2 linked regions of the Oryctolagus cuniculus genome follow. The protein of the gene in region 1 purifies or fractionates together with the protein of each later gene. This does not show direct contact. Links are inferred from orthologs where the notes say so. Each region holds a gene or a part of one and is shown on either strand. Other genes may lie near its edges.

Evidence for each region.
Region 2: the proteins of WDR20 (region 1) and FBXW5 purify together in Homo sapiens (co-immunoprecipitation; 3 studies listed by BioGRID and IntAct, counting the BioPlex papers as one, with this or other methods). This does not show direct contact. The link is inferred for Oryctolagus cuniculus from reciprocal best matches to the Homo sapiens genes WDR20 and FBXW5.

Annotation. Positions count from the first base shown.
Region 1 is NC_091451.1:45,460,138-45,463,940, forward strand, and holds part of WDR20 (WD repeat-containing protein 20), read left to right. Parts: intron 1-1,452; coding exon 1,453-2,712; intron 2,713-3,803. UniProt on the Homo sapiens protein: Regulator of deubiquitinating complexes. Activates deubiquitinating activity of complexes containing USP12. Anchors at the base of the ubiquitin-contacting loop of USP12 and remotely modulates the catalytic center of the enzyme.
Region 2 is NC_091432.1:237,322,264-237,326,205, reverse strand, and holds the end of FBXW5 (F-box/WD repeat-containing protein 5), read left to right. Parts: intron 1-374; coding exon 375-801; intron 802-878; coding exon 879-1,026; intron 1,027-1,106; coding exon 1,107-1,319; intron 1,320-2,639; coding exon 2,640-2,883; 3' UTR 2,884-3,287; downstream 3,288-3,942. UniProt on the Homo sapiens protein: Substrate recognition component of both SCF (SKP1-CUL1-F-box protein) and DCX (DDB1-CUL4-X-box) E3 ubiquitin-protein ligase complexes.

The sequences.
Region 1 (3,803 bases):
CTGAACCCCAGCCACAGAAGCCCTGGTCAAGCCGTGTAGACTACCCCCTGATCTCTTGTCAGAGGGATTGAGCAGTTCTTACAGAGATCCTGCCAGAGTCCTGCTGGGTTTCTAGGTTGTTGGCAGTGACATAGGTCAGGTGCCTTTTATAGGTAGGTCACCAGGCAGGAAGGGAAAGAGGCAGAGGATGCAAATGTTGGCTGTGTCCCCAAGGGTGGTACCTGTTAATTTAAGAGCTCCAGGCCTGCCGTTAGGTGACAGTGAGCACTGAGTCCTGCTGCAGCACCCTGAGCCCCCTCAGCTTACCTGCTTTCCAGGGATTAGGGCCCTGTTCTTCCTGCCTGGACTTGCTGGTTAGCCTCCGAGAGCTAGTTTTCATGCAGTGAGTATGTGTGGCTCATTCATTTCTTCTTTTGTAGCCCTGCTTTTGAAAATCAAGTAATTTCTGTAATATTCTTAAAAAGATACAGCAGACACAAAGCCAGCTGGGCAGAAGGCAGCAGTGTTTCTAGGCAAGGCCCCCCAGTGTGCCCTGTGCCCCTCTGAAACGCAAGTCTGTAGAGAGTGCTGGGCTCCCTTAGGCGCTGTTCTGAGGTTGAACTTGTGAGTCTTGGGAACTTCTGGGTGACTTCTGCTGATGTGACTTTGAATCCAAGCCACCAGAGAGGGACCCTCTGGGAAGCAGCCATGCTAGACCTCCCTGGCACAAGCAGGAAGGGTACTGTGTGCCTTTTGGGATTTTTTTACTTTTTGCCATTCATTCTTTTGTTTTAAAGGCAAGACTGCTGATAAATGCCTTTTAGAGAAACAACTAGGACAGTGGACTAGGACTGAGCACAGGGTAGAATGCTAGTGATGATGGCATAATCTTGAGCTAATCACCTGGTTATGTCTAAACACCACCTCGGTCAAGAGAGGACAGCCAGTACACGTGCCGAGGCTGAGCCCGGGAAGGCTGCTCTGGAGCCCCGGATGCTGCTGGCACTGGCCAGAGCTGACCCCACCTCAGGCAGGCGCGGCAGGAGCGGGTGCGGTGTGCACCTGACTCGCAGTGACAGTGAGTGCCGAGAAACCCGGGAGGCACAGCTTTCCGGTTGGGAGGCATGGCGCACTGCCTGAGGTCACCGTAGAGAGGTGCCAGGCCCAGAGCAGTAAGCCACTGATTCAGAGAGGAGGTGCAGCCCAGCTCTGGGACAGTGTCTGGCACGAGCAGGCACCTACTGCCAGAAGGCCGACTTCCTCTGTGAAGTCAGGTCAGAGGCTGAGCCAAGTGCGGTTCAGGCACACGCTGTCCAGAGCCTGGTGCCCTCCCGGCGTGGCTGACCGCAGGGTAGATGTGGCATGCCTGGACGGACTCCTCCCGGCTCACTGAGAAGCAGACTCGTTTTCTTGGTGGAGAGCCGACTTTCAGACTTCTCTGTTGTGATAACTTGTTCTCCTTTGTCTTCACAGAGACTAATAGACAAGTCACGAGTAACCTGTGTCAAGTGGGTCCCCGGCTCGGAAAGCCTTTTCCTAGTGGCTCATTCGAGTGGGAACATGTACTTGTATAACGTGGAGCACACTTGTGGCACCACTGGCCCTCACTACCAGCTCCTGAAGCAGGGAGAGAGCTTTGCCGTGCACACTTGCAAGAGCAAATCCACGAGGAACCCTCTCCTTAAGTGGACGGTGGGCGAGGGGGCCCTCAATGAGTTTGCTTTCTCCCCAGATGGCAAGTTCTTAGCGTGCGTGAGCCAGGACGGGTTCCTGCGGGTATTCAACTTTGACTCGGTGGAGCTGCACGGTACGATGAAAAGCTACTTTGGGGGCTTGCTGTGTGTGTGCTGGAGCCCGGACGGCAAGTACATTGTGACGGGTGGAGAGGACGACTTGGTGACAGTCTGGTCTTTTGTAGACTGCCGAGTAATAGCTAGAGGCCATGGGCACAAGTCCTGGGTCAGTGTGGTGGCCTTTGACCCCTATACCACTAGTGTGGAAGAAAGTGACCCTATGGAGTTCAGTGGCAGTGACGAGGACTTCCAAGACCTTCTCCATTTTGGCAGAGATCGAGCAAATAGTACACAGTCCCGGCTGTCCAAACGGAACTCTACAGACAGCCGCCCCGTAAGTGTCACATACCGGTTTGGTTCAGTGGGCCAGGACACACAGCTGTGCTTGTGGGACCTCACAGAAGACATCCTTTTCCCTCACCAACCCCTTTCGCGAGCAAGGACACACACGAATGTCATGAATGCCACAAGTCCTCCTGCTGGAAGCAATGGGAACAGTGTCACCACGCCCGGAAACTCCATGCCCCCTCCTCTGCCGCGGTCCAACAGCCTTCCCCACTCAGCAGTCTCCAATGCTGGCAGCAAAAGCAGCGTCATGGATGGCGCCATTGCTTCTGGGGTCAGCAAGTTTGCGACACTCTCACTACACGACCGGAAGGAGAGGCACCACGAGAAAGATCACAAGCGAAACCATAGCATGGGACACATTTCTAGCAAGAGTAGTGACAAACTGAATCTAGTTACTAAAACAAAAACAGACCCTGCTAAAACTCTGGGAACGCCCCTGTGTCCTCGAATGGAAGACGTCCCTTTGTTAGAGCCACTGATCTGTAAAAAGATAGCGCATGAAAGACTGACGGTATTGATTTTCCTTGAAGACTGTATAGTCACTGCTTGTCAGGAGGGATTTGTTTGCACGTGGGGAAGGCCTGGGAAAGTGGTAAGTTTTAATCCTTAATGCTGCACCGGATCTAGACTTGAATAGGTAGTAACTGTTTTTTCTCGAGGGGGGGTGGGGTGTACAATGAATGTGAATGACACTTCTGATTCTTGATGTAAATCCAAATGCATCAGAGCCATAATTTTGGATACTGCATGCCATGTAATTCCGAATCATTTGATAATTCACCTGAGAGCATTTAAAAATATAATCAAGCGAGTTGCCAGCCAGGTCAGTCATCCTCTTGGGAGCGTAGAGTCCCAAGGCCAGCACTCCTGTGTCAGACTATTTCAGGTGTAGGAAAATCATGACAGTGTTGGGAAACGATGACTTTAAAATGCTACAATTAAAATCGATGCTTTAACTGGAATACTTTTGCTTAACTACTCCATTAGAGTATTGTACACCTGATCAGAGTGTGTGTTCAGTACAAGGGGCTGTTGCCATTTATAGTCCACTTTTTTATCTTAATCATAAAACTGTTTAGGAGTCTATGAAATTTAACGTTAGGGACAAAGCGTTCAGGGTTGATTGATATTATTTTTACATTGTTCTGGCAATCCACAGAAGGAGAAGAGCCTTAATTTTTAAAACCCATTTTAGTCATTTTATGACAATTAAAATTGTTTAATAAACATCTTTTTTCAAAGAAGCAGTTTGTAGAACTTTGATTGAGATTCTGTGCACTAAAGTCTTCACATGACCCAGAGTCTGGACAGAGAGTGAACTGTGGGCTGAGGTCGCCAACAGCTGTTGTCAGAAGTGCCTCTTGCCGCATGAGCCAAGACCTTTGACCTCAGATGCACTTTACATACTTTTTTTTTTCCCCAGTGAGAGAAGAGGAGGGTTCTTTGTATTTTGCTTTGTTTGGTTTTGTTTTTGTTTGGCTCAGCAAGACATGTGACTGCAGCCTGTGGCAGCGCTGCCCGACAGGCACCTGCTTGGGTTCAGTCCCCCACAGGGGACGCGCAGGGCAGGCTTTGCTGTCCCCTCTTCCTGGAAGGCAGTTGTGACTCTGCCATTACTCCTGGGACGCTGATGCTGCCCGGCACCTCTGCAGGGCCCCGGGGCCTGCGGCCGTTCAGGAGTGG
Region 2 (3,942 bases), on another chromosome or scaffold:
CACTCCCGCCCCCGCCCCCAGCTCCGCCCCAACCCCCCCATCCCACACCCCCGGCTCGCCCGCCCCCCGCCCCCGCCCACCGGCTCGCCCGCCCCCCGCCCCCGCCCACCGGCTCGCCCGCCCCCCGCCCCCGCCCACCGGCTCGCCCGCCCCCGCCCCCGCCCACCGGCTCGCCCGCCCCCCGCCCCCGCCCCCCGGCTCGCCCGCCCCCGCCCCCGCCCACCGGCTCGCCCGCCCCCGCCCCCGCCCCCCGGCTCGCCCGCCCCCGCCCCCGCCCCCCGGCTCGCCCGCCCCCGCCCCCGCCCACCGGCTCGCCCGCCCCCGCCCCCGCCCACCGGCTCGCCCCGCCCCCGCCCCCCGGCTCGCCCGCCCAGGACGTGGAGTCGGAGAACGTGAACGTGGTGAAGCGGCTCTTCAAGATCCAGAACCTCAGCGCCAGCACCATCCGCACCGTCATGGTGGCCGACTGCTCCCGCTTCGACAGCCCCGACCTGCTGCTGGACGCCGGCGGCCCGGCCGCGCCCTGCCGCGTCTTCGACCTGGGCGGCGACTCCGACCCCGACAGCGACTCGGACGGGCCGGCCCCGGCGCCCGCCCCGCCCCGGCCCAGGGGCTCGCGGCGCTTCCCGGACGGCGCGCTGGACACGCAGGCGCAGCTGTCCGAGCGCGTGCTGGAGACGCGGGTGGCCGAGCTGCTGGCCCAGGGCCACACCAAGCCCCCCGAGCTGGCCCCCGCCGACGCCAGGAACAAGTACCTCATCTTCACCACGGGCTGCCTCACCTACTCGCCGCACCAGATCGGTAGGGCAGGGCGCGCGGGGCAGGGCACCCGGGCGGGTGGGCTGGGGCCTGCAGCCCCTCACGCCGGCCCCCCGCAGGCATCAAGCAGATCCTGCCGCACCAGATGACCACGGCGGGCCCCGTGCTGGGCGAGGGCCGCGGCTCCGACGCCTTTTTCGACGCGCTGGACCACGTCATCGACGTGCACGGACACATCGTGGGCATGGGCCTGTCGCCCGACAACAGGTGCGCCCGCCCGGCGGTGGGGGGCGGGGGCGGGGGAGAGGTGGGGGCGTGTCCCGCGCTGAGCGCCCGCCCCGCCGCAGGTACCTGTACGTCAACAGCCGCGCCTGGCCCCGCGGCTCGGTGGTGGCCGACCCCATGCAGCCGCCCCCCATCGCCGAGGAGATCGACCTGCTGGTGTTCGACCTCAAGACCATGCGCGAGGTGAAGCGGGCGCTGCGCGCGCACCGCGCCTACACGCCCAACGACGAGTGCTTCTTCATCTTCCTGGACGTCAGCCGGGACTTCGTGGCCAGGTGCGGGGCGGGGCGGCACCCGGGGGCCGGCCTCTGGGGCGGGGCGTGGGGCGGGGCCGGGGCGAGGCGAGGCGGGGTCAGGGACAGGGTGGAACCTGGGGGCCGGCCTCTGTGGGGCGGGGCCGGGGCGAGGCGAGGCGGGGTCAGGGACAGGGTGGAACCTGGGGGCCGGCCTCTGTGGGGCGGGGCCGGGGGAGGCGAGGCAGGGTCGGGGACAGGGTGGAACCTGGGGGCCGGCCTCCGTGGGGCGTGGCGTGGGGCGGGGCGGGGCGGGGTCAGGGACAGGGTGGAACCTGGGGGCCGGCCTCCGTGGGGCGTGGCGTGGGGCGGGGCGGGGCGGGGTCAGGGACAGGGTGGAACCTGGGGGCCGGCCTCCGTGGGGCGGGGCCGGGGCGAGGCGAGGCGGGGTCAGGGACAGGGTGGAACCTGGGGGCCGGCCTCTGGGGCGGGGCGTGGGGCGGGGCCGGGGCGAGGCGAGGCGGGGTCAGGGACAGGGTGGAACCTGGGGGCCGGCCTCCGTGGGGCGGGGCCGGGGCGAGGCGAGGCGGGGTCAGGGACAGGGTGGAACCTGGGGGCCGGCCTCTGTGGGGCGGGGCCGGGGCGTGGCGGGGCGGGGTCAGGGACAGAGTGGAACCTGGGGGCCGGCCTGTGGGCCGGGGCGGGGCCAGGGCGAGGCGGGGTCAGGGACAGGGTGGAACCTGGGGGCCGGCCTCTGTGGGGCGGGGCCGGGGGAGGCGAGGCGGGGTCAGGGACAGGGTGGAACCGGGGGCCGGCCTCTGTGGGGCGGGGCCGGGGCGAGGCGAGGCGGGGTCAGGGGCAGAGTGGAACCTGGGGGCCGGCCTCTGTGGGGCGGGGCCGGGGGAGGCGAGGCGGGGTCAGGGACAGGGTGGAACCGGGGGCCGGCCTCTGTGGGGCGGGGCCGGGGCGAGGCGAGGCGGGGTCAGGGGCAGAGTGGAACCTGGGGGCCGGCCTCTGTGGGGCGGGGCCGGGGGAGGCGAGGCGGGGTCAGGGACAGGGTGGAACCTGGGGGCCGGCCTCCGTGGGGCGTGGCGTGGGGCGGGGCGGGGCGGGGTCAGGGACAGGGTGGAACCTGGGGGCCGGCCTCCGTGGGGCGGGGCCGGGGGAGGCGAGGCGGGGTCGGGGACAGGGTGGAACCTGGGGGCCATCCTCCGTGGCGCGGGGCTCCGGGCGGGGCCGGGGCGAGGCGGGGCTGGGTGCGGTGGGACAGGGTGGAACCTGGGGGGGCCGTGCTCCGTGGGGCGGGGCGCCGGGCGGCAGAACAGGGGCGGGCAGCAGCCTCATCCCGGTGCGGGCCCACAGCGGGGCCGAGGACCGGCACGGCTACATCTGGGACCGGCACTACAACATCTGCCTGGCCAAGCTGCGGCACGAGGACGTGGTCAACTCGGTGGTCTTCAGCCCGCGGGAGCAGGAGCTGCTGCTGACCGCCAGCGACGACGCCACCATCAAGGCCTGGCGCTCGCCGCGCACCGTGCGCCTCCTGCAGGCCCCGCGCCTGCGCCCCCGCCCCTTCTTCTCCTGGTTCGGCTGCCACAGGCGCTGAGGGCCGACCTGGCTCGAGCCGCGGGGACACTGCCGGGGCCCCGTGGGTGCTCCCCGCGTGGGGTGGCTTTGCTTGTAGCAGGGATCCTCAGGAGGGGCCGGCCCGGCCCCCGCACGCACTCGCACAGCCTCACGTGGCCCGCGCTGCATGCGGCGGCCCCACACTGGCCGCGGGGCCAGCACGGCGTGCACAGGACACTGGAGGCCTCACTCCTCACCCACTCCCTCCCCCGGGCTGCGGGTGCACACGGCCCCAAGCCCGGCCACTCAGGACAGTCCCCACGCCTCGGCCCAGCGGACAGGCTCCCGCCCTGGTGACTTGGTTTGTACCGGCGGTGCTGGGGGCCCAGGGGCCTGTCTGCTGGCCACTGGCCCAGGGCTCAGAATAAACAGTTGCCAACAGCCCACCGACGTCCACCTCTGTGCAGGGAGGGGCAGCCCGGGCCCTGTCCCCAGCCTCCTGCCTCCTTGGCACCCAGGAGGCCTGTGCCCGACGGCATCCGGGCAGCTCTGGTGGGACAGCTGCATTCTGGGAGATTCCTGCCGAGGGTGGGGGAGGGGCTGCCCAGCTGGAACCTGCCTGGCCTCCCTCCCTCACCGAGGGCCCCCCCTTGTGGTAGTGAGGGGGAGGGTGGGGAGGGCGCCGGGCCTCGGGGGTAAGCAGTGGACACTGTGTGCCCTGCCTGCACAGGGGACCCAGCTGTTCCCCATGGCACGGGCGCTGGTGCGGGCACCTCCATCCTGGGCCGGGCCTTGCTGGGGACAGGTCTGAGAGGGGCGGCTGGGGCTAAAACGAGGGGCTCGTGCGCTGTGCAGATGAGCCCGGGACACAGCCCAGGGGCCTCCATGGCCTGGGCGCCAGCCCCCTGCAGGTGGCCCGGGAGAGTGGCGGAGGGTGCGCCGAGTGCTCGGGCCCCTGCACCCACTGGGAGACAGGAACAAGCTGGCTGCAGGCTGTGTCCTGGCTCAGGCCTGGCCATCGTGGTCATTTGGGGAATGAACCAGTGGACAGAAGACTGACTCCCCAAACACCACGTGGTCAGGGCTGGGCCAGGCAGGC